Linked DNA regions of Kluyveromyces lactis. The protein of the gene in region 2 interacts with the protein of the main gene of each other region in a pairwise test. Links are inferred from orthologs where the notes say so. Each region holds a gene or a part of one and is shown on either strand. Other genes may lie near its edges.

Region 1 (6,074 bases), on a different chromosome or scaffold from region 2:
AAACCTAGAAAATGCCGTGGTGGGCGAACTTACAGAGGCAATTTCGAGAATCAACTTAAAGGGTTACGGATTATCTTTTGATGTTTTGTACGTCACACAGTTGCACATCACCAAATAAGCAGATGAATAGGAAGAGAAAGAAAGATATACACCTGAGAAAATACCCACCAGGATGATGATCGTAGGAACTATGATCAACAAGGAAGAATGAGAGTGTTATTCAAGTCATTAATATGTTGTCTTTGGGAGATGAGTGGCCTTGCAATAGAGGTCATATGACCATCGGACCTTTTCTCGTGCAAATGATGGACGGAAGGTGGGACGAAAACACGTGAAGGAGTTCTTCCTTCTCTTTTACTTGGTCGTAAGTTCCCGTTGCTAGCCGTGCAACGTTTCGCAAAGGCCCAGTCCTAAAGTACGAACAAGCTGTATATAGTGAAAAAATTGGAGATTGGCACTCTACACCCATACATCACACTTCACGTATGGGCATTCGTGTGAGATCAATTTGACACAAAGGGGAAAGGGTTTTGCTACTTGCGACAGGAGGTATGGAGAAGTGTGTAACTGATTCATCATGGACCAAGATGAGGAGCCGGAATTCACACGCATTCTATGGTGTCTTCTATGTCAGGGTCCAGTAGATCTTACTCCTTTCGTAATGTGGCTAGCTATTACGTTTGCTCATGACAGGAAAACGACAGAAAGCTTTCGTTTTTCTTTTCTTTCGTTACTAAGTGCGCTTTTAGTTGCACTTAGTAAAGAATTTAAAATTGTCTATAGAGCTAGAGAGGTTACCTGCAAAATGGTGGATTCAATTTCTCTGGTTATGCCACTGTATTTGATTCCTTCGGAAATAACTTATCTTTTAGTAACCAGCGACAGATGAGCAGCGGCATACATTTCGTGCGAAACGAAAAAGAAAATTGTTTCCTCTCGAGTGATGCGGATTTGTGTAGGGAAGAAAAAGATGTAGCCAGAAAACACTGCAATGCACGAGGTGGCCTATATTTTTTTTCACTTAAATGGTTACAGGCCTGAAAAAAGTTTCAACTGCAAAGGTTACAGATCTGAGGGTGGGGGAGAAATCGGACCTGAGATGTCAGATCGGAACTTCTTCTTCTTCCCTCTGTTTCTCAGTGAGAGCGGGGTAGATAGTTGATAAATCACTAACGGTTTTTCTGTTTCCATTGAATAAAATAGTATTAAAAACGTTATAAAAGAACATATTTCAAGAGTACTTAGTGATTTTGAAAGTGTGCAATGTTGGATAAAATTAAGACAAGCCAGTTAGTATCTGCTAAAGATAAAATTCATTCTGACGAATTTTACACACCAGTTGTAGTTTGATTGTACGTCAATTGTTCTTGTACGCGAAGCGCAGCAGTAGTGTGTCCCCTTTGGATGTTTTCTCTTATGACATTCGGCACTTTCTTCGGGGAAACTGGTTTCCTGATCTGATTGCCGCCATTAAGTCTTATAGGCGAAGAATCCAAGTGATCGTAGTAGTCTAGGTCATGATTTTGTTCTTGGTTGCACAAATCTTCTTCATCCAGTCTGCCCTCATGACTTTTACGTTCTTGATGTTTCACAAGAGAATCTTCTGAATGGAACTTCTTACCACAACCTGCACACGAGTAACCTTTCTCTAAATGCGATTTCTTGTGTCGTAGCAAATCATGGTTTCTGACAAAAGCCTTTTGACATCCTGGGAAATCACACTTGTACGGCCTATCGCAAAGATGGGTTTGGATATGAGTTCTCGCGTTGTACCGTCTGTTAAACCTCTTTTGACAATCTTTAAACTTGCATTGGAACTGTTTAGGTCCAATTTCGAGAATGTACTTGTCAATCTGTTCTCTAGGCAGCATGCCATACCGTTTACCGTTCCTTCCCCCACTTACCATGGGGCTGGTGTTCAAATTGGTGTTTAGGCCAATTCCGTTATGATTGGGCCCTAGTCCCAAATCGACATGGTTATGTTGATTGTAAGGGAAATGCACCGGTGATTCAGCAATACAATCGAATCGCTCTTGAGATCGCAGAATTGGAGATGGGGTTTGAGCTTGTACGAACTCGCACTCCGGTTCGTCGTTGTTTCCGTTATTCATGTTCGTTAGACGGCCAGATTTCATATCCTCTTCGCCATCACGTGATGCAAGAATAATGTTTCTAGCATTTTGACCTTTCCTATCGTCAGGCCGTAGAGAAGTCGTGACAGTTTTGTCAAATATTAGTTTCTTTGTTGGAGTATGTTGGAAAGAGTGTTTTACTGGCATGTTCTCGCTGTTCAGCTTATTTGAAAATTGCCTATCAGGTGATTGCTTCTGTTTCAACGGAGTCGTTTCGCTAGATCCAGGAATCATTGGCATTATCTGCAATTGCGGTGGTTTCTTCAATTGGACCCTGCTGTTCAGCGTTATTCCAAGTCCCAGACTGGGTTGCTGTTGGGTTTGTTCTGATTCATGGTCATCCTCACTTTGCATTGGGATCGTAGATGCCGTCGATATCGTACTATCTCTTGCGAAATGCTTGTTCTGATGGCTGTTTTTGTTGTTAATGTTACTGTCAATACTACTTGCTGTTTCTAATCCATCATCACTTCGGGTAGTATGTTTATAATTACAATTCATTGATGGGGTCTTTGGATTATCATATATTTGATCTTGTGGCGTGATTGGTGGACGATTTGAACTTTTCTTGTTATACACCGCACAATTGGATGGACCACGACTTTGATTGTCCGTCAACTCTTGAAAATACTTGGACATCTTCAATAATTGTTCCGTGTTGTTTCCGACAGTACTCGTGCTTGATATAGAAAAGTTCATAGGAGGAGCAAGACGGTTATTACCGTTCTCAACCCCATCATAATTATGTTGACGACGTCTATGTGGAGATCCGTTGACCGATGCCCTTGAAAAGGGCGATAACAGTCCATTCCCCGCTCCCACTGCATACACTTTATTGACATCTTTATTAGGCGATTCGTCCAATTTTGTCCTTTCTCCCATTTGTCTTTGTTGGGATGAATCGTCGGAAGATGGTGGTGGAAATTGATACTTACCGTTCTTACCGTTAGAAGTAATAATTATACTTGTCTCCGGCCTTACCGGTGTGGTAGTAGGGATAGAAGAAACTTGATTTAAAGTCATTTGTTGAGCCTCCAGGGCTCTCTGTAGTTGTTCTTGTTGTAGCTTATTCATTCTTAGTTGATCTTCAAGCTTTTCATTCATCTCCTTTTGTCTTTGTAGAGCCAACTGTAACTCTTTTTGCTGTTGCATAATCGTCTCGCTCATCTTTATTTCTGCAGGCTGGGAAGCCTGCTGTGCTTGCAGTAGTTTTTGCTGTTCCTGTTGCAGGAAGGCCTGCTTCTTCTCATCTAGATTGATTGTCATGGACCCTATGCTTAATGATTTATTATGCTGGGCAAATCCAAAGATGGCAGTACCACTTGGCTTTTTCTTGTGATTTCCTGCGGCCCCACCACCTGGCATAAGTTTTCTTGGAGTGATTGATGGTATTTCTGTATTTACATTTCCAACACCGACAGAAGCATCATTATCGTTTACTACATTCCAATCTAATCCGTTTCCCGGGAACATCTCTAGATCAAGTTTTGAAAGTTCATCCTTAGGAAGTACTGGTATGTCAAGATCTCTTAATTCTTTTGTGAGAAATTCTTCAATATTTATATCCATAACAGGGTTGAAGTTCTCAAAAGCCTCATCTGGAAGAGGATAATCCTGTCCCCCATAGACAGAACCCAGATTATTGGAATTGTTTCTTGAATTCAGCAAATCCATCATGTTTTCTGATATTTCACCATTGTTTCCATCTACGACATCGTATGGATTCTTAATCAAGTTGGACCATTGCTCTGTGCTACTCATTGGTCCAGATTGAATAAACACGGTTCGAATGTATTTTTGTTGGTACTATCAAAAACTTCTTATTTTAATCCCGCTCTTTTAACTTCAAGTCAACTTGGTGTTTGCGCTCTTACCTATGTATCTTAGTATTGAATTATCTTTTCGGTTCCTTGTTGCTTCCAGTCTTTCTTACTTCTAGAGGCTCACTTCAAAAATCGATTGCACCTAACCTAAAGTTGTTCTCCTTGTTAAGTTGTAATATATCTTATGCAAATGATTAAACTGCTAATATCAACGGAGTGTTTCCAATACCTGATGCAACCAATAACAATCGATGTTACAGATGTATGGGGAAGATGGGGAAAACGTAATGAAAGCTTCAACTGGAAGAGTTTCTTGTTATATGAACCAAACAACAGTTGCTGCAAAGTTTATAAAAGAGGTACATAGTTAAAGAAAACACAATTATATGTTTAGATGTAGAAATAGACAATGCAAACATAGCTTCAAGGGCATTATGCTTTGTTCGAACGAGGTTTTTGAAGCGCTATTACCCGATTGGGTTCAAATATCAACATAGCTGTTCATATCAAAACAAAGAAAAAAAAAGGTTGATGCGATTTTTAACATGGCTTAACTAATCGTACTAATTAGGAAAATTCGCATATCTAATCAAGTCATGTGACTGATAGTGACAAGCAAGTTTACCAATTCTGAATGATTTTCTAAGTCAGGCATGTGCCTGATACAAGACTACCGCTTGAAAGTAGTATAAATTGATATTTACAACCTATCAGCGGATTTCGAGAAGGGCATCGAAATCACGTCTACTCCAATCTCCGCCTTGATTTCCTGACATCTAAATTGCAAGTCTGCTCTCAATAGAGGTAACTGTGCCAACGCTTCCGTAGCTAAAATATGTCGTAGATATTTGCTCGACTTTTCAAATTCTTCCGCATTTTTAAATTGTTTATTGTTTGGAATAACTCCGAACGAAATGTGTGCTGTCTCAGGGTCTATCACCTTTGAATGATAAGTTGGCGGGACGTTTCTTTTTATCGCATCAAGAATAGGTTGTAACTGTCGCACTGATGATTTGGATAAATTCAACGTCAAGAACGTGAGACTTGAGTCAAAATTATCGTAGAGACGCCAGTTACCTGCCAGAGAAATTGGAATCGATTTATATTTCAAAGTGGTGATTTCTTTCTTGATTTGAGCAACACTCGTTGCTGTCTCCGCTCCATCGGTGAAATACAACGAAGACGTCAAAGACACATGTAAGGGCTTAATGGTACCTAGCTTTCCACGATGTAAGGGTTCAAAGTTAGTCATATGATGCATGTTCATTACTGAGTTTACGTCGTTCAAAATCATATCAAGCACCCGGTTCTGTTTGGAATCAAGCCGCAGCTGAAGAAACATATAGCAAGTATTTCTACCCATCGGAGCTTTGTACATTCTATCGTTCAATGGGTTCAGAACTGGTGGTTTATTAAACTTGTGAATGATTTGGTCTGGTAAGTTTGGTAGCAATGAGCTTCTGTCCTCTTCTTCCTTATTCTGGATAGGTTCCCCGTCAATTTCAATATCACTGCCTTCACTATCACTCAAGTATACAGACGATACTAGGCTCATACCTACAAAGCTTGTAATTTCAAAGACGGGGCCTCTTATCTTCTAAGTAGTTACTATAATTTCACTGTGAATCACCATTGATGATGATCTCTTTTCAGTTTTTCAGGTTAATAATAAGAGTCCCATTTTCTGCAGATATATGTCTAAAATGACAAAGAATAATAACAAGTAACATGGTATTGACCGAAGGTACCCTCCACCTTCACGAACTGAGTAAGTTGCTCTCGCAAATTGTGCCAACTGGATGTTTCACACTAACAAAAATTGAAATCACGTGATATTATAAACAACTCACCTTTAAGTAAATTTTCACATGTCATTTTTCATGTGACTTAAAACCCTTCGTTCCATGAAATTCTGATTTGCAGAAACATCTAGCGCAGGACACAAATCGAATCTTCCTAACATATCCAGGAATAAACAGAATATAAATATAATAGGTTTCCAACTACCAACTTTTCATTATTCTGTTCTCAGAACATCGAACTTTTATTGTCCTTTCAAACTTATAAGATATACTTTGACTTATACGGTAATCTAATAGGGTTTGTCGTAATTGTAGTT
Region 2 (6,021 bases):
TTGATCCTCAGAGTTCTCTTCTATCTCCAGTGCTATTGATGGACTTCTGAAGAGTTATTTAAATACAATGTGTGCACAAATGTGGTGATCTCTTCTGTAATCAAGCTAAACTAACTATCAGCTTTCTCTTTTTCAAAATTTTTCAGCTTTTTCAGATGCCATAAACAACTTCGTAGAAACACTGAAAATTAAAGAGAATGAACCTAATATATACATTACCCGGATCTTGTGATGATATTGAATTCTCCGCTACCTGCTCTATCTTATCTTGGATCTCATCTCCAGAGAAAGGTTTTCCTATCAGCAGACACGCACAGTAGAGTTATCACCTTCATCCGTCAAGTGTCCGCATATTCCACCATCTAGAACTTGATGTTTGAATTGAATTATGGAGCCGTTCCTACGTCCCGGACAGATTGCTTAGCTAGAGTTCTCGATTGTGGAGATGATAACCGTGGATCGATAAGTGCCATTTGTGAGCCGGACTTGACAATTGACGGGAATTCAAGCCTAGCAAGCAGTGAGAATTATACCAATTGTAAAATCTGTGGAGGGTTTGCGAATTTTTTATGTTCAAGAGATTCACGAGCTGGGTGGTTTTGTTCTTTTTGTAATGCTTATAATGAACTAGGGAATATTCCATTATCATCGTCATACCTAAAACATTTAGGAACTGCTGCTGTGCCTACGCATTCCAAGTTCGCCATAATCATCGATCTTAATTGTGAATTTGAGGAAAATCTAGACGCGTTGAAGATGTTACAATTTGGTTCTGTCCAGTCATTGGCCCTGATCACGATTGAAGATGGGTCTGTCACTATTCATACTGACGGGTCACACATTACCGTAGATGCAGAATCTAGTAGTTGTATCAGCCATCTTAAGAAGCTTGACACAGAATGGTTCATTGCAAAGTATGGGCTTTTAGTGAGGAAGATTTGGACGGACCAAATATCTTTCGGTGCTAAACTCGCGGAACTTCTATGTCAACGGACTAGGTCAAAAAAAAGATGTAGAAGAAACACTGCACTCGCTATTTTTCTAGCACAATGTCTAAACCCATCACAATCCATTGCATTTGTTTTCGGACCCTGTACAGTAGCACCAGGTAAGGTTATCTCAATGGACCGAAAAAATCATATCAGGCAGCATAGAAATATAGAGGAAGACAAGGATGTGAAATATTGGAAACCTTCTAGAGAATTTTACAATAAAATGAGTAAGTCCTTAAAGTTTGCTCCATGCACGGTATTCGTCGCATCCATGGATCAGGTCGGAATATGGGAGATGAGATCCTGTTTGAACAACTTTATTCAATACGAATCCTTCAATGATAGAAATTTCATATATGATTGGCAGGCGTATATTCAAGGGAAAGGATGTTATGAAATAACCAGAATTGTTATCAAAACTTCTAACAAGCTATTACTGAATGGGATCTTTGGTCCAGTCTCATCCTTGAAAGACAAGGACACACATGTATCTGACACTCCAAAGGGCTTTGGAGGGTCTGGAACCTTCCGTTACAAAGGGCCAAGTAGTAATCTACCATCAATTTTGATAAGTTTATCTGTTGATACATCTCGCAGCGCTGCTGAAGCCTTGCAAGAAATGCCAGATAAATTTTCCTTTCAAATGGAATGCTACTATAAACACTTGAATCAAGAATACGTTTCTGTAGAAACGAAATTTATTCCCAGTACAACCTTACCAGGTGAACATCTTTTAACCCAAAATTTCCACTGGGATATAATGGCTGGATCCATAATGAAAAAAATATCTTTCGCTGTCTTGTTTCAAGGCAAGTTTTATGATTACGATCTAAGGTGGTGGACGTTAGAAATAGTAAAACTTCTTAAATCATTGAATGCCATCGATGTTCCTGGCATTAAATCCTTACAAGAAGTAACGTACTTTATGCAAAGATCAACTCTCTTAAGGAAGAGAAATACATCGCCTGACGAGTGGATCGTCTACCATTGGACAATTCTGAATTCCCCTTTAAGTCATATATTCAAGATGGTTAGACCCCAAGTGTATTCGACCACAGGGCTTATTCAAAATACAACTGACATCCTTAATTATGCCGAACCTTTATTGGTAGATGGTGGTAACGTCCTTGTGGTACGAGATACTTCAGTAGGAGATAGCAGAGTTGACAGTTTGAAGGCAGCTGCTGATACCATATACCACGATGGAAGTCGATTTCCAAAGCCTTGGTATCGAGAAACCAAGCCAGGTGCTAGTCAGGATAGATTTGTAATTGCACGACTAGGCTTAACTGCAGAACATTCTTTGCATTCTGATGACCTCACGCTTGATAAATACATGGCACTGTTTAAATCAAAAAGTACTGCATGAAAAGTATGTAATCATTCATTTTACCTCTCAACAGATATCATGAACTCTATATATATATAACCAAAACCAAAAGGTTAGAATAGTTCCCCATTTACTGTCGCAACCTTCGAATCTATCGCTCCCCCTTTGAATAACAATTGTATGGCAGGAAAAGATACTATGTACGTATTCCTTGGTTTCTCCATCTGTCGCTTTTCAAAAATGACATATTTCATTTTTTAAAAGATACTATATAATTAAATCTAACCATTCTTTCCGAATAGCACATTAAAAGCCAGAGTCCAGAGGAAAAGAAAGAGAAACTGCAAGCGCGAGCCATTGGGTCGTTTCATTAGGGAAAGAAAGATGAACTCCACTTCCAACCGGACTCAGGTATTTTATATACCTGTTGGCCTAACTCAAGTTCAGAAAGATTTGTTGGAAATTTTAATCTCGATACATGCAGAGTCGTTTGTCTCATGTGTAGATAAACGTCTACTGCCAGAACTACAATCTAAATTAGAAAAAAAAGGGACAAATCTCAAAAGAGACTTGAGTATGACTGCATTAACAGATGTTCAGTTAACTGAATGGTTCTTCGAAAATATAAGAGCTGTCTCGAATCACCCTTGCCTGTTAGTTGAGCATTATATGCCTAGACAGTTTTTGTTAATGGAACCAACTGAAAGGTTGATATACACCAGCGATAAATTTGGCAAGTTAAATCTAATGGTTGATCTTTTATTGAATCGTAAGGACAAATCGAGGCCATTGCAAGTTGCTATCATTTCACATTCTGTGAAAGAATTGGATTTGATTGAAGGCGTCATGTTGGGAAAAGTTGCAAAGTTGAAGAGGTTATCTGGAACTTCTTTGTTTGACGAAAAACATGAATATGACGATCAAACTTCTGGTTCAAGAACAACCAATGGTGAAAATTCATCAAGTTCTGGTAGCGTAGCTCCTGAGCAAATCGGAAAATCGAAAGATGAATACAACTACTCTAAGTCAAGACGTAAGAATAACATATCTCAACTTGACTGGTTGTTTTTGGCAACAACCACACATTTGACACACTCTGAAGATTTACTTTCTAGGTACAATCTGGATCTTATCATCAGTTTTGATCCAATGCTGGACGAATCGTTACCATCGATATTCAAAGTCAGGAAAAATGGCAGAAAAACTCCTCTGTTTAAGCTATTGGTCCAAGATTCTCCGGATCACTATTTGTTATCCAAAAAGAAGCCAACTACTACTTCCGAAAAGCTAATTTTGGATTCCATTGTTCATTTTCTAAAGTATCGTGCCGATATCAAAGATCTTATTTCTTTACAACAATATGAAAATATTATTGACTCATTGATCAAAGAGACGGACCCTGGTGAATTTCTCCCAAGTGTAAATCCAGGAAGTTCGAGAAATAATGATGATTTGATTCCTTTTCTAACTAACCCAATGGAATTGATGCCTCTAACTTACGGAAAATATGAATTAAGGCTACAATCAGGACCAATGGACATTAAAAATTATCAGTATATTTTAAAAACACTCACGGCAGAACGACTCAAACAATGCCATGTAGAATATGAAGAGCGTGAAAAACTAGTCCTCAAGACCAGATTGAAAGAAACTAAAAGGTTAAATGACTTTGATGATTTGAAGGTGAATATCGGACAACATTTCAAAAAACTCAAAGAAAATGAAACCAAAATCAACGACTCTGAAAAACGCGTTGAAAGAACAAGATCTGAGTTGGAAGTTTTAGAAGAACGTCTAAAGAGCTTGGTTGAACGCAAATCCGAGCTTGTAAGGCTCTTAACTCTCGAAGATATTGCAAAAGAAATTGAAAATCAGAAGCAACAACATACCAAGCTATCAGATGAAGTTTCTTCCTTCAAGAAGAGTAACGATGAAGAGTCCTTTAAGAATGACGATTTGAGATCTAGCTACCAACAAAAATCGTCTGAGGCTGCTTCAGAAGTGCTAAAGACTTCAGCTCTGAAAGCTGAGAAAGAGGAGTTGGAACGCCAATTGAATGGACCTTTCACCAAGTGGGAACTTATTATATTGCAAGAAAAAGAAGCACAACTCAAATCTTCCTTACGCAAAATGGTACAGCAGTCTCAATTCCTAATACAATACATGAACCGAATACAAGGCCAATACAACATTGAAAACGAACCTGCAAAAAAATCATCTCCGGCAACGAACAACTCGTCAAGGTACACTACAAGAACTACCAGGGCTACTTCTCCTACGTACACATAAGTATTACTCCTTCTAGGATACATCCAGACCAAACCATCTCTCAACTACTGCATGCAATATACTGATATCTGAAAGCCTGTCAGATTCTGGTAAACACAAGCTTGCTTGCAAAATTGTAACACTAGCGCAATTACTCCTCTATATAGACCAGTTTGTATTATGTGAGTCAATAGTGACTTGTTCATTCTAATTTCGACATGACCACCCTAACTGCGGCAGTAACGGATCGGCATAACCATATTCAGTTGAAACTGGAACATAGAATTTGAGCTTTTTTTTTCGTACTTTTCGGATTTTAAAGACCTTTACTGATTCGTCTGGTATTTTGCATATAGGGTAGAAAATAAGAACTTTTAGTAGATTTTATGTCTTGCTCTCAAATTGAAAGCAGAAACTAAGGGTATACAGTTCTTTTTTTTTTCTTACCATTGCGTTGTATTGAGCTGACTCCCACAAAATAATAACACTTTAATCTTGGCTACTGTTAAACTCTGAACTTGATTTTGATACAAGTTTTCTGATAATGGGAAAGATGAGTTTCATTGAAGGATTGCAGAAGCGCTTTTTTTTAGGATATTCATACAAATACAACACGTTCGAACTTGATCCTATTATACTGGCAACTTCTATCAAGGTGGCAGTTTTAGATTATTTTCGGAATACGCCTTGGTATTGGATCATCAGAGACGCCGTCTTTTACCATCTGCTTTTTAACGTTTTGTCCCGGATTATTTTGTACATAAGGGGGTATGGGCTTCTGACATCAATTTCTAAATTATTCCATTATGCCAGTAGACGTTTATTTGAGGTTCTATTGAGCTTACCAATGGTAAGAGGTTCTGTCGATAAAGAGGTTTCTAAAGTCTTAGCCACAATAGAGAAAGATATGATAAAAAACGATGCGAATTTAAAGGATTTCCCTGAACTACCAAGAACAGGATTAAGTGAAGCTGATGTATTGAAAGAACTAGATAAACTCAATTCTGTTTTGAAGCATTCTGATTGGGAAAATGGTAAAGTATCTGGTGCAGTGTATCATGGTGGGGATGATTTGATTGATTTACAATCCAAAGCGTTTAAAAAGTTTTGTGTGGCGAACCAGTTGCATCCAGATGTCTTTCCTGGTGTGCGTAAAATGGAAGCAGAGGTAGTGTCCATGGTTTTGAACTTATTTAATGCTCCACCGACTGGTTGTGGTACTACAACAAGTGGTGGTACGGAGTCGTTGTTATTGGCTTGTGTAAGCGCAAAAATGCTTGGATTGCGCTACAAGGGAATTACCGAACCCGAAATAATCATCCCGAAGACAGCACATGCAGGTTTTGACAAAGCGGGATATTACTTTGGCATAAAGATCCATCATGTTGATTTGGATCCTGTGACATTCCAAGCTGATGTTAAGCAGATGAG

Evidence for each region.
Region 1: the proteins of HDA2 (region 2) and KLLA0_D16456g interact in a two-hybrid assay, tested with the Saccharomyces cerevisiae proteins (2 studies listed by BioGRID). The link is inferred for Kluyveromyces lactis from reciprocal best matches to the Saccharomyces cerevisiae genes HDA2 and ACE2.

The regions. Positions count from the first base shown.
Region 1 is NC_006040.1:1,386,518-1,392,591, forward strand, and holds KLLA0_D16456g (uncharacterized protein), read right to left. Parts: upstream 3,894-6,074; coding exon 1,329-3,893; downstream 1-1,328. Other genes in the region: USB1 (phosphoric diester hydrolase), read right to left, coding at 4,656-5,510. UniProt on the Saccharomyces cerevisiae protein: Plays a role in regulating basal-level expression of CUP1. Activates EGT2 transcription in the absence of SWI5.
Region 2 is NC_006039.1:894,650-900,670, forward strand, and holds HDA2 (Hda2p), read left to right. Parts: upstream 1-2,706; coding exon 2,707-4,611; downstream 4,612-6,021. Other genes in the region: GTPase-activating protein NEL1, read left to right, coding at 373-2,361; sphinganine-1-phosphate aldolase DPL1, read left to right, coding at 5,135-6,021. UniProt on the Saccharomyces cerevisiae protein: Required for activity of HDA1 histone deacetylase complex. The HDA1 histone deacetylase complex is responsible for the deacetylation of lysine residues on the N-terminal part of the core histones (H2A, H2B, H3 and H4).